2 linked regions of the Anolis sagrei genome follow. The protein of the gene in region 1 purifies or fractionates together with the protein of each later gene. This does not show direct contact. Links are inferred from orthologs where the notes say so. Each region holds a gene or a part of one and is shown in the gene's direction. Other genes may lie near its edges.

Evidence for each region. The genes of interacting proteins can lie anywhere in the genome.
Region 2: the proteins of ISCA2 (region 1) and IBA57 purify together in Homo sapiens (co-immunoprecipitation; 4 studies listed by BioGRID and IntAct, with this or other methods). This does not show direct contact. The link is inferred for Anolis sagrei from reciprocal best matches to the Homo sapiens genes ISCA2 and IBA57.

What each region holds. Positions count from the first base shown.
Region 1 is NC_090021.1:304,421,193-304,428,117, reverse strand, and holds the start of ISCA2 (iron-sulfur cluster assembly 2 homolog, mitochondrial), read left to right. Parts: upstream 1-3,923; 5' UTR 3,924-3,966; coding exon 3,967-4,025; intron 4,026-6,925. UniProt on the Homo sapiens protein: Involved in the maturation of mitochondrial 4Fe-4S proteins functioning late in the iron-sulfur cluster assembly pathway. May be involved in the binding of an intermediate of Fe/S cluster assembly.
Region 2 is NC_090026.1:127,758,814-127,765,996, reverse strand, and holds the start of IBA57 (putative transferase CAF17, mitochondrial), read left to right. Parts: upstream 1-4,173; 5' UTR 4,174-4,315; coding exon 4,316-4,635; intron 4,636-7,061; coding exon 7,062-7,183. UniProt on the Homo sapiens protein: Mitochondrial protein involved in the maturation of mitochondrial [4Fe-4S]-proteins in the late stage of the iron-sulfur cluster assembly pathway. Operates in cooperation with ISCA2 in the maturation of [4Fe-4S] proteins.

The sequences.
Region 1 (6,925 bases):
GGGTGAGGCTGAATCATCATGGGTCATTAACTAGACTTTACACTGGAGTGGGCTACTACAGAAGGAGAAAGGGCGAATTTGCTTCTTAGCACAAACCACTGGTTGGTCTCACTTCTGTTTTCAACCAGAGATCAGCCCCAAAATATACCTGGAGCTGAACAAATGTTACTTTTGCTTTCTATTTCCTAGTTTGGGGATTGTCTTCAGTTGAAATTAGCTTTAAGAGCTTGAGGAAGTTTAAAAGCATGCTACCCCCCCACCGCCCTCCGTAAAGCAATAGTTGATTTTTGGACCATATTCCATAAAACTTTACAACTTTATTAGTTTTTAAGGTTTAAGATGCCACAAGGGCCTAAATATCCTAAAAGCGCTCAATTCTATCTGATTTTGGAAGCAACACTGAGTCAGACTTAGTACTTGGATGGGAGATTGACCAGAAATATCAGATGCTGCAAGCTATGTTTCAGAGTAATGCAATAGCAAACCACCTCTGAGAATTTCTGGTTAAGAAAATGGTATGAAATTCAAGGTTTCCATAAGCTGTTAGTTAACCTAAACACATACAAGGCCCTAAATGTGTGTGTGTTGTTTCTATTGCAGCAAACTGCCTTTACCACTCCGCTGGGCATGTCTCACCTCAGTTAACTCAGCCTTAACCCAGTTAGGCAACATTTTCCATAGCCCCACTGAAGTGTGCAAAAAATGCCATAAGGATTCATTTGAAGGCTGCAGTCTGTTTGCTTCTGAAGACCTTTAGTCCAGTTCACAAGATTAGAACTCTGTTTTGTTTATGCAGGGCAAGTTGTCGTCGTTTTTTAAAACCACAAAGATGATAACCGTATCACTTGAGGGTCACTTTGGAGATGTCTCTTCATCCTTGTCAGATCAGCAAGAAGGAACATATTTACGTTTTGGCCAATTTTGCTTGTTCAGCAGATCCCTTTCACCTACATCAAGAGCATGCATTTAACTCAAGGCATATTATGACGAGGGAAGTGAAAAAGCCAAGGCTAAAGTTGCTGGGAGTTGGACAATACATTGATTAAGGCCAACCTATATGTCACAGAAATGTGCACACATTTGGTTTCCCCAGAAATAAGGTAAATTTAAATTTAACGTATGTATTTTAGGTGCTGAACTTTGGGCTTGGCGACTTTGAGACTAAATGTTAAATATTATCCAGTGGTTTGTGGGAATGGTACTCCGAGAGCAGTTCCTTTTCAATCTTATTCATTTGGTGTAGATTAAGATTCAGGTACTTTCAAAACAATATTCAGACAGTTCCCGAGTTATAAACAGCTGACTTACAAACAACTCATAGTTAAGAACAGGGGTAAGACAACAGGAAGTGAGAGAAATGTACCCCTAGGTTTGGAAATTTACTCGTGAAAGGGTTATCATGGAGGAAAGATGTATCCACTGAAGCTTTATTACCAATCATTGGTTGAACAGCAAGCCACATTTTTCAAAATCCAATTATTACAGTGTTGGAAATAGCAACCTTCTTCAAGCCTCCACTAGTAATTTGTTTGTATATTATTCTGTTTGCTTACTGTATACTGTATTATGTTTTGATATGCAGCTTTCCCTTTGCTCTATGTTTCTTGAGGTAATGGGAGGGACTGCAGACCTCATGAACAGATAATATATATATATGCCTGCCTTCAGATTACCTATTATTTTAGGGTGACCATATGAATTCCATAGGGGTTTCTCAGAAAAGGAATAGAGAGGTTTTGGGGGAGCAATTTGTGTGGTTTCCTGCCACAGTGCTTTCTGTTCTAAACCATGTCAAGAAGTAAATACTAATATGAATGCTACAATAGTGCTATTTGAGGGAGAATGGGCACATTTTACTTGGTTGGTGTTATGTGAGCCAGCAAAGTAATCAATTACATACAAACATCTATCAGAAGTAAAAATGTAAAAATCATTGGTCACTAGAGAAAACATTTTGGTAATAAAGGCAGAATTGATCAATACTTGGGTCAATGGCATTTGATTTTCTGTAGGGCTATAGCTAAAAACAATCCATAGGTGAGGCTGAATCATCATGGGCTGAATGAGGGCTGAATCATCAGTGTAAACTAGAGTTTACACTGGAGTGAGCTACTACAGAAGGAGAAAGGGCAAATTTGCTTCTTAGCACAAATCTCCGGTGGATCTCACTTCTGTTTTCAACCAGAGATCAGCCCCAAAATTATCTGGAACAGAACAAATGTCACTTTTGCTTTCTATTTACTGTTTGGGGATTGTCTTCATTTCTGGTGAAATTAGCTTTAAAAGCTTGAGGAGGTGTAAAAGTAACTTGGGGGCTGCTTGTATATATATTATTTATTTACGTGTGTGTCTGCCCTCAGTTTATCTATTATCTTAGGGTGACCCCATGAATTCCATAAGGGTTTCTCAAAAAAGGAATAGGGAGAGGCTTTGGGGGAGCAATTTGTGTGGTGTCCTTCAACTGAGGTATTATCATGCAATTCAGTGGTAGATTACACCATCAGTTACTTTGTGAGATAGGGACTGCGGACTACAAGATAGGCTATGAATAGCACAGAACATTAACCTGTGTTCTTGTAGACCTTAATTCACTTTTACCTCCATTGCTTAATTTATAATAACATTATATACATACATTATCATTAAGCCTGTAAACATACGTGTTAGCAAGCCCTATTAGTTACACTTTGGGAGGAGGGTTACATATGAATAAGAATAAATTCACCCCAGTGGCGCAATGGGTTAAACCCTTGTGCTAGCAGGACTGAAGAGTAGCAGGTTGGAGGTTTGAATCTGGGGAGAAAGGGTTGAGCTTCCTCTGTCAGCTCCGGCTCCTCATGCGGAGATATGAGAGAAGTCTCTCACAAGGAGACGGCCAGTTTTCTCACACCAGAAGCAACTTGCAGTTTCTCAAGTCGCTCCTGACACGAAAAAAAAAACCCTGAAAATATGATCAGAGTTTATTTATATTATTAATTTATTTACTATATTTATACCCTTCCCTCTCTAACCCAGAGGTGACTCATAGCAGCTTACAAGTTATATGTACATACAATATATTATATTATTAGCATGCTACAAAATTAGCATTATATATTACTATATTGTACTATACCACTACACTGTAATATTATTAGTAATATTACATCTAATATATAATTAATATTATTATATTGTATTATTATTAGTATTATATTGTATTGTATTATATTATTATCAATATTATATGTTGTTGTTCATTCGTTCAGTCGTTTCTGACTCTTCATGACCTCAGCCCACGCCAGAGCTCCCAGTCGGCCGTCACCAACCCCAGCTCCTTCAAGGTCATATGTATATATTATTATATTATATTATATGTATATACAATATATTATGAGCATAGTACAATATTCGTATTGTTGTTGTTCATTCATTCAGTCGTCTCCGACTCTTCGTGACCTCATGGACCAGCCCACGCCAGAGCTCCCTGTCGGCCGTCACCACCCCCAGCTCCTTCAAGGTAATATGTATATACAATATATTATATTAGAATAGTACAATATTAGTATTATATAGTACTATATTGTTGTTGGAGGGAGGGGCCCCCAACTGATGCTATGTTTTCAATGTTTTCATTTAGAATAGCTTTTCAGTTATTTTTCTCCAATTATAATAGAAGGAAACTCCTTTCACCCCTAAACAGATTCACACAAGAAACTCAAGAGGCAGTAGTAAAAGTTCCCGCCTTTGAGGTCTCTGCGCCAGCCAATCAAAATGCTTCAGAATGTACAAACATGAGACTTGGCTTCCCAGACCCTTCCGCCCGGATTTCCTCGCCTTCACTCCAAACCACGTGACCTTCCCGTCACTCTCCGCTAACTTCCAATGGCGCAACCGTCTCCTCTGCCGCAAACCAATTGACGTAGGGCGTAGGCGGGACATATGGTTCGTCTGCACCAATAGAGACAGAGTCAAGAGGAGAACAACATGGCGGCACTGGGAGCACTTACTTGTTTCAGGGCGCTGAAGATTTGCGGGCGGAGCAGGTAGTGGCGGTTCTTTCCCCTTTTCCCGCCAGTCGTCTAAAGCTGCCCTCAGACTGAGCGAGATGGTTTTTAGTGGAAGGGAGGGAGTCAACTTTGTTTAACATTGCATGTACGGCTTTCAATCTTTATTTAGTCCTCAAGGTGTTTTGGACTTCATCTCCCAGAATTCCTGGCAGTTGGCCAAACTGGCTGAGGCTTCTGGGATTTGAAGTCCCAAACAAGCCTGGAGGCCCAGAGGTTGGGAATTGGAAGAAGGCAGACTTAAGAAAATAGCAACGGCGGTTCATGGAGCCGAAATCGTCTTAGGCTGTCAGACAAGTTGTTGTTGACAGAGTGAAAACTAGCGAGGGCTTCTAGAATAAGAAAGGATTGATTCTTACCTGGTGATACACACCTGCCAAAATTCCTGCTTCTGCAGGATTTTAAATGCACAGGAGGCCTCTCTAGTTTTCACTCTGGCAACCCTCATAATCTGTAATAGCTACAAATTTTGTTGACATTTCTCCTTCAGTCTTACAGTGCATCTGTACTGTAGAATGATTGCAGTTTGACACCACTTTAATTGCTATGACTCATTGCTATTGAATTATGAGAGCTGTGGTTTTACAAGCCTTCTCTGCTAAAGAGTGCTGGTGCCTTACCAGAACACATCTCCCATGATTCCATAGTAATAATACCAATAATAATGCAAAAGGCTTGTGATCCCAAAGAGTGAATACCGTAAAAACACAATCCAGAACAGAAGAGAAAACTGGTGAAAGAAGGCTCTCCATGGACAGTTCCTGGGAAAATTGAGAGCCAAATTGACAAAGAAAAAATGGCTGTGGCTCACAAATGGAACTTTGAAAAAGGAGATGGAGGGCCTGATTCTGGCAGCACAAGAACAAGCCATTCGAATCAATGCCACCAAAGCCAGAATTGAAAAGTCAATGACAGACCCCAAATGTAGACTCTACAAGGAAGCATATGAAACACTAGATCACATCCTCAGCTGCTGCAAGAAGATTGCGCAGACAGACTACATAACACAGTTGCTCAGATGATTCATTGGAACTTGTGCCACAAATACCATCTGCCTGCGACAACTAACTAGTGGGATAACAAGCTGGAAAAAGTTACAGAAAATGAACACGTCAAACTACTCTGGGACTTCCAAATTCAGACAAACAAAGTTTGGAGCACAATATTCCTGACCTCACGATCCTATTAAAAACAAAGTATGGATTGTCGATGTTGCAATCCCAGGTGACAGTAGTATTGAAGAGAAACAACTAGAAAGGCTGACATGACATGAGGATTTAAAGATCGAACTGCAAAGACTCTGGCACAAGCCAGTCAAGGTGGTCCCAGTGGTGATAGGCACACTGGGTGCAGTGCCTAAAGACCTAGGCCTGCACTTAAACACAATCAGCGCTGACAAAATTGCCAGCTGCCAGCTGCAGAAGGCCACCTTACTGGGATTGGCACGCATTATCCGCCGATACATCATACAGTCCTAGACACTTGGGAAGTGTCTGACGTATGATCCAATACAACAGCCAGCAGTGCTGTGGACTCATCTTGTTGTGTTTCAAATAATAATAATAATAATTAGTTACTCACCTTCTCATGGCTTGAGGCAGGGTACAACACAGTCAAAGCTTTGGAAGAATATAAATTAAATGGATTCCTGATTATGCACCAAATATATATCCACAAATACAACAGTATGTATAGATAAATAATCAGTAAACAGGTATGGAATATAAAATTGAATAAACATATACAAATTTACAAGTATAATGTTGATGCTCCGTACATCAGAAAGAATATAAAACTAAACAAATTTGCTGCTTGTGAAGTCAGCCAGTTGAACTGAAAAGTCTGTAGAGCACACGACCAGTTTTGACTTTTTTAGTCTTCCTCAGGCGCAATAAGAACAGAGTGTTAACAGAGTATCTCAGAAAGATATAAATTCACACTTACCCACCATTGATATAAATTGAAAAAAGACATAATACTACTTGAGAGATGAATGTAAAGTGTTTATCATGGAAATATAAAATTACATAGTTGCCTGAGGAAGATTAAAAAAGTCAAAACCGGTCGTGTGATCTACAGACTCTTCAATTCAACTGACTGACTTTACAAGCGGCAAACTTATGTTTAATTTGATATTCATTCTGATGTATGGAGCATCAACGTTATACTTGTAAATTTGTACTTGTTTATTCAATATAAGTTTATATTTCATACCTGTTTATTGATTATTGACCTATACATACTGTTGTATTTGTGAGTATATATTAGTTTGGTGTACAACACAGTCGAAACACATCAACATCATACACCCACACACACACATTAGTTTTGAGCCATGACAATTTAGGTGGTGTCAAACTGCGAAGATGCACCCTTTAGAGCAGGTATGGGCAAACTTTGGCTCTCCAGGTGTTTTGGACTTCAACTCCCACAATTCCTATCAGCCTCATGCTCCTTTCTTTTTCCCCTTAGCTATTTAAGGGTTCACACAAATATTACAACTACCGTAGTTCAGCCTTCTCGTGAAAATAAAGGTTTCAGATAATTTATCCTGTGCAAACAAACTTGAGAGTAAGTTATGCTGAGAACATGGAACTTCTCAGTACACATATTTAAGGATTTGAATGCAATTTGGTAGTAATTTGCCCTCATTCTAACTGTTATTATATTTCCTCTTCATATAGTAATTGTTTTGCTATTTGTTCAATTTGTAATACAGTGGCCCCTTAGTATCCATAGAGACTTAATTCCAGGAGTCCCCATCTGCTCAAGCCTAATATTTTTTTTTATTGCCCGCCTCTCCTAATGGCTTGAGGCAGGGTACAACAAATTCAAAAACATGAACATAAAAATATATATATAATAAATTACATAGATAC
Region 2 (7,183 bases), on another chromosome or scaffold:
ATCTCACTTGCCTAGTTTCCAACAGACCTCACAACCTCTGAGGATGCCTGCCATAGATGTGGGCATAACGTCAGAAGAGAATGCTTCTGGAACATGGCCACGCAGCCTGGAAAACCTACAGCAACCCAGAACAAAATGAATCTCTCACTCACATTCCATTCCACTGGAAAATACTTGAAAGTAACAAAATGTCCATATAATAAATCTATGTTGTTATGAAGTTTCCACTGTGTGTTTTTTTTTGGGGGGGGGGGGGGTGGGGAGATGTCTTGTTTTTGTTTTTTTGTACTAACTTGTATGAGAAACCTGTTGAGTGTGAAATTGACTCTTGTCTCTGTAAATATTTTTCGGGGAGTAAATGTTATGGCCTGATTGTACTTAGGATGACAGAACTAATAAAAATAAATAAAATGCTTGTGTTTTCTTGGTCTCTTGCAAGATTGATCGTGTCTGTAAACTCTGTAAAAATGTAGCATTTATTTATTTTATTTTTATTTACAGCATTTATATTCCGCCCTTCTCACCCCGCAGGGAACTCAGGGTGGATTACAGTGTACACATATATGGCAAACATTCAATGCCAATTTTGACATACAACATATACAGACATACACAGAGGCTATTTAACTTTTTCTGGCCGCCAGGGGAGCTGTCGCTTTCATCGTCCATCTGCGACGCTGATGAAGTACTTCCGCATTCCCCGCATGCTTCCCCGCTGGAATGCTTTATGGCTTCATAAATCAGTTAATGTAGCCTCCCCACACTTTAAGGTGGTACCTAATTTTCCTACTTGACAGATGCAACTGTCTTTCAGGTTGCAAAGGTCGACAACAGGCTACACAATTGGTTGGAAACCCACTCCAACCCGGGCTGGCTTCGAACTCATGACCTGAACTCATGACACTTCGAACTCATGACACTGATGAAGTACTTCCGCATTCCCCGCATGCTTTTTGCTGGAATCTTTTTTATGGCCTCATAAATTAGTTAATTTAGTCTCCCCACACTTTAAGGTGGTACCTAATTTTCCTACTTGACAGATGCAATTGTCTGTCGGGTTGCAAAGGTCGACAACAGGCTACACAATTGGTTGGAAACCCATTCCAACCCGGGCTGGCTTCAAACTCATGACCTTTTGGTCAGAGTGATCTTAATGCAGCTGACACTCAGCCAGCTGTGCCACAATCCCTACTGATGGAGATTGTAGTCTGATGAGTACTTGAAAGACTGTGTTATGCTCTTGCAAAGAAGCATAGAGTGTATCTCAAATTCAAATTCAGATCACAGGAGCTGTCTTCATAGACTTGTCTATGATACTGTGAACCACCGCCTCCTCCTGAGAAAAATGTATAATATCACAAAGGACGACCGCCTCATAGGAAACCTGCTACAAAACAGGAGCTTTTTTGTTGAGTTCCAGGGCCAGAGAAGCAGATGGCGGAAACAGAAGAATGGCCTGCCTCAGGGGAGCGTGCTTGCTCCATCCATGTTCAACATCTACACAAATGACCAGCCACTGCCAGAAGGGACAGAGAGTTTCATCTATGCTGATGATTGTGCCATTACTGCTCAAGCAGGGAGCTTTGAGATGGTTGAACAAAAACTCACCGAAGCTCTAGGTGCCCTTACTGCCTATTTCAGGGAAAACCAGCTGATCCCTAATCCATCTAAAACACAGACATGTGCCTTTCACCTTAAGAACAGACAAGCATCCTGAGCTCTGAGGATTACTTGGGAAGGAATCCCACTGGAGCATTGCAGCGCACCCAAATACCTGGGAGTCACTCTGGACCGTTCTCTGACCTACAAGAAGCACTGCCTGAACATCAAGCAAAAAGTGAGCGCTAGAAACAATATCATACGAAAGCTTACTGGCAGAACCTGGGGATCACAACCAGACACAGTGAAGACATCTGCCCTTGCGCTATGCTACTCTGCTGCTGAGTATGCATGCCCAGTGTGGAACACATCTCACCAGACTAAAACAGTGGATGTGGCTCTTAATGAGACATGCCGCATTATCACGGGGTGCCTGCGCCCTACACCACTGGAGAAATTACACTGCTTAGCCGGTATTGCACCACCTGACATCCGCCGGGAAGTAGCAGCCAATAGTGAAAGGACCAAGGCAGGGACATCCCCAGCTCATTCCCTGTTTGGGTATCAGCCAGCACGTCAATGACTTAAATCTAGAAATAGTTTTCTAAGATCTACAGAGACACTTGCTGGAACATCCCAGCAAGCAAGATTCCAATAGTGGCAGGCTCAAACCCAGAACCTCAATCCGAGGGTTATACCAAATGAGAGACTCCCCCCTGGGCACACAGAAGACTGGGAGACTTGGAAGGCGCTGAACAGACTGCGCTCTGGCACCACGAGATGCAGAGCCAACCTCAAGAAATGGGGCCACAAAGTGGAATCCACGACATGCGAGTGTGGAGAGGAGCAAACCACTGACCACCTGCTGCAATGCACCCTGAGCCCTGCCACATGCACAATGGAGGACCTTCTTGCGGCAACACCAGAAGCACTCCAAGTGGCCAAATACTGCTCAAAGGACACTTAATCAACTACCAAACTCACAAATTTTGTATTTGGTCTGTTTGTTTGCTTTGTTCTGTTAGAAATGTAACATAATTGACTGGTTGCCCTGACACGACAAATAAATAACCGGATTTGAACCTCCGACCTTTCGGTCTTCAGTCCAGCCGGGACAAGGGTTTGACCCATGGCGCCATTGGGGGCTCCTGATTAATGAAATAATTATGATATTGGGGAAACCAGACTAATCTTATCCTTATCTATCTAACTCTACCTTAGGTTCCCACATGGGGGAGAGATAGGGGATTGTGGGATCATCCCAGCCTGTTGTCCTTGGCAAAACTATGAATTCCCTGATTTTGAACCATCTTTTACTGAGACCTGGGGGAGAGGGGTTACCTTTGATCTCAAAATCACAACGTGTCCAGTTCTGAGTCCCACAGTTCAATGGGGATATTGACTCTTAAACTGGAAGGCGTCCAGAGGAAGAGGGCGACTCAAAGGATCAAAGGTCTGGAGACGATGAATCTCTATGAGGAGCGCCCTAAAGAACTGGGTCTCTTTAGCCTGCAGAAGAGAATGTTGAGAGGAGACAGGATAGCCATGGATAAATATGGGAAAGGGTGTCACAAGGAACAGGCTTGTTTTCTGCTTCTCTTGAAACCAGGACTCAATAGAGCCATGGGTTCTAATTACAGGAGAGGAGATTCTACCTGAACTTCCTGACCAAGCTAAGCTGTTCACCAGTGGAACTCTCTGCCTCAGGGCCCGGTGGAAACTCCTTCTTGGAAACCCTTAAACCAGGCTTGGGCCAACTTGGGTCCTCTCTCCAGAGGAGATTCTAGCTGAACTTCCTGACTAAGAAAAGCTATTCACCAGTGGAACTCTCTGCCTCAGGGTCCAGTGGAAGCTCCTTCTTGGAAACCCTTAAACCAAGCTTGGGCCAACTTGGGTCCTCCCTCCAGAGGAGATTCTAGATGAACTTCCTGACTAAGAAAAGCTGTTCACCAGTGGAACTCTCTGCCTCAGGGCCCGGTGGAAGCTCCTTCTTGGAAACCCTTAAACCAGGCTTGGGCCAACTTGGGTCCTCCCTCCAGAGGAGATTCTAGCTGAACTTCATGACTAAGAAAAGCTGTTCACCAGTGGAACTCTCTACCTCAGGGTCCAGTGGAAACTCCTTCTTGGAAACCCTTAAACCAGGCTTGGGCCAACTTGGGTCATCTCTCCAGAGGAGATTCTAGCTGAACTTCCTGACTAAGAAAAGCTGTTCACCAGTGGAACTCTCTTCCTCAGGGTCCAGTGGAAACTCCTTCTTGGAAACCTTTAAACCAGGCTTGGGCCAACTTGGGTCCTCCCTCCAGAGGAGATTCTAAGTGAACTTCCTGACTAAGAAAAGCTGTTCACCAGTGGAACTCTCTGCCTCAGTGCCCGGTGGAAGCTCCTTCTTGGGAACCTTTATACCAAGTTGGCTTGGGCCAACTTGAGTCCTCCCTCCAGGTGTTTTGGACTTCAGCTCCCACAATTCCTTGGCCAATTCCAAGGAACTCTGGGAACTGAAGTCCCCAAAGTCCCTGAAGGCCAGAGCTTGGGAAACTTTGAGAGGGCGTGGCCACGGGAAAACAGGCAGGCACCTCGACTAATAAGAAGCCAAGAACGGGGATAGTCCCGCCTCCCTTAGCGAAGATGTTGATGCGCCTGCGCAGTCGGCGCAACTCGTCTCCTCAGCCAAGATGTGTGCGGGGTGAAAGACAACTCGCTTTCTTCGAGCGCCGCCATGTTGGTGAGGGCGAGTGCGGCGCTGCGGAGGGCTCTCTCCCTCCGCTTGGGCCTCCGGAGCGGAGAGAGGAAGCTAAGCGGGGAAAAAGGAGGCAGCCAAGCGGCCACCGTGGTGACCACCTGCTTCCCGCTGGAGAGCCGGGCACTGCTACGGCTCCGAGGCCCGGAGGCGGCGACCTTCCTCCAAGGGCTGCTGACGAATGACGTGACGCTCTTGACGCAGGAGGGGGGCGGGGCTTCTCTAACCACGCCACGAGCGCTCTACGCGCATGCGCTCAACGTCCAGGGGCGCTGCCTCTATGACGTCATCCTGTACAGGTGAGAAGGAGAGAGATGCTAAACAGAGTTGGCATGTCCACTTGGCTTGGGGTTTTTTGCACTTAGGGATCTAATGCAAGGGGAGCCAAGCTTAGAAATTAGCTTGCCCCCGAAGTGGATACATCCTGATCAATTTCTAATTTTGGAAGTTATTTTATCTCTCTCGAGATATATATATATACACATACATATCCATATACATATATATACATACTAGCCATCCCTTGCCACGCTTTGCTGTGGCCCAGTCTGTGTGTATATGTGTGTTTATATATGTGTGTGTGTGTGTGTGTGTGTGGTTTTGTGCACGCGTAATGTAATTTTTGGGGTTTTTTTGGCTTTTTAAGTCTCTTTAAGTCTCTTTACAGCATTTTTATCCTGCTCTTTTATTTATTTATTATTTATTTACTTTATTTATATACCGCTTTTCTCAGCCCTCAGGCGACTCAAAGCGGTGAACAACATCAATACAAAACATCACGAGACAAGTATAGGGCAATTAAAAACAATTGTAACATAAATAATTAAACATCAGTATAACAATCATTAGCGCCTCAACAGTAAAATCAGAATCCAGTCTCACCATCCATTATTCCATATTCCTATGTTCAATTACACTGTTTAATCAAATGCTTGTACGAACAGCCAGGTCTTCACTTTCCTCCGAAACGCCAGCAGGGAGGGGGCCTATCTGATATCTGCAGGCAGGGCGTTCCACAGCCGAGGGGCCACCACTGAGAAGGCCCTGTCTCTCGTCCCCGCCAAGCGCACCTGTGATGCAGGCGGGACAGAGAGCAGGGCCTCCCCAGATGATCTTAGTGTCCTGGCCGGTTCATAGGAGGAGATGCATTCAGAGAGGTAAGTAGGGCCAGAACCGTTTAGGGCTTTATAGGCTAACGCCAGCACTTTGAATTGTGCCCGGTAGCAAACTGGCAGCCAGTGGAGCTGGCGCAACAGAGGAGTAGTATGCTTCCTGAGTGCTGCTCCTGTTAGCAACCTGGCTGCCAAGCGTTGGACCATTTGAAGCTTCCGAGCAGTCTTCAAAGGCAACCCCACGTAGAGAGCGTTGCAGTAGTACCGTGGCCAAGTCAGACTTCCCAAGGTATGGGCACAGCTGGCGCACAAGTTTTAACTGTGCGAATGCTCCCCTGGTCACCACTGAAACCTGGGGTTCCAGGCTCAGCGACGAGTCCAAGATCACACCCAAGCTGCGAACCTGTGTCTTCAGGGGGAGTGCGACCCCATCCAACACAGGCTGTAACCCTATGCCCTGTTCGGCCCGAAGGCAACTCAGGGCAGCGTACAGATTGGCAAAATTTAGATGCTATAAACATACATACATATCAACAAAAACATGTAATCTCACATAATAAAAATCCATATAAAAGCAATTGAAGTCATAATAATTAATGTCTTCTCTATCTCTATATATATGCACCATTAAAATTATTTTTTTAAATCCCATTTTGTACTATTACTAATCATTGTTTTATTCCTCTCCCCGTGGATTGAGGCAGGAAGCAACACCAGATTGCTTCTCTTTGGTGGAGAGAAAAAGCAAGGTATAAATAAACAACAACAATTTTATTTCTCGCCTCATGGCTCGGAGCAGGTTACAAAATCATTAAAATACACAAACATAGCAAAAACGCTACAACATTAAGACATCTACACTTAATGTAGTTTGACACCACTTTAACTGCCTTGGCTCAATAATAATAATAATAATAATAATAATAATAATAATAATAAATCCTTTATTTGTACCCCACTACCATCTCCCGAAGGACTCGGTGCGGCTTACAAGAGGCCGAGCCCAAATGCAATAGTATAAACAGTAACAACAGCAACAGCAAAATAACTCAAAAAACAAAGCAATAACATTCACAACACACAATGACGCAGTTAAAATCAATGGCAGGGCCAAATTAAAGTTAAAAAGTGCTGGGCGTGACCAGGTAGAGTGTAATCCTGGGAGGTGTAATGCTGTGTAATCCTGGGAGGCGTAGTTTGGTAAGGCTCCAGCACGTTTTGGTGGGAGAGGCTAAATACCTTGCAAAACTACAAGTCCCAAGATTCCATAGCATTGAATCAAGACAGTTAATATGGTGCCAAACTTCATTGATTGTATAGTATATGTGTACACTACTACCAAGCCAGAAAAAACAAGGAAGGCAATTCTTGTTTTTGAAAATGTAATTCACTGTGTCTTCTGGGAAGCAGAACTGTAGCAGAAGGCAAAAGAGAGATGAACTGGGAAAGCCCTCAGTCCCCATATTGGGAGAAAAGTGAAATAAAAAATATAGTAAACAATAATTTAAAAAAGGCCACAATCTGGCACAACACAGGAAGGGGCCGAAGTTGGGATTGAAAGGCTTAGTTCCAAGAGAGGTATTTGTTTTTTCCTGATTTTGGATGTTTTTCAGGCTTCACGTAAACTCGCAAGAAGAGCCTCACCTCCTGCTGGAATGTGATGCTGCTGCCCTGGACCCCCTTCAAAAGCATTTGAAACTGTACAAGATCCGAAGGAAAGTTGACATCACTCCTT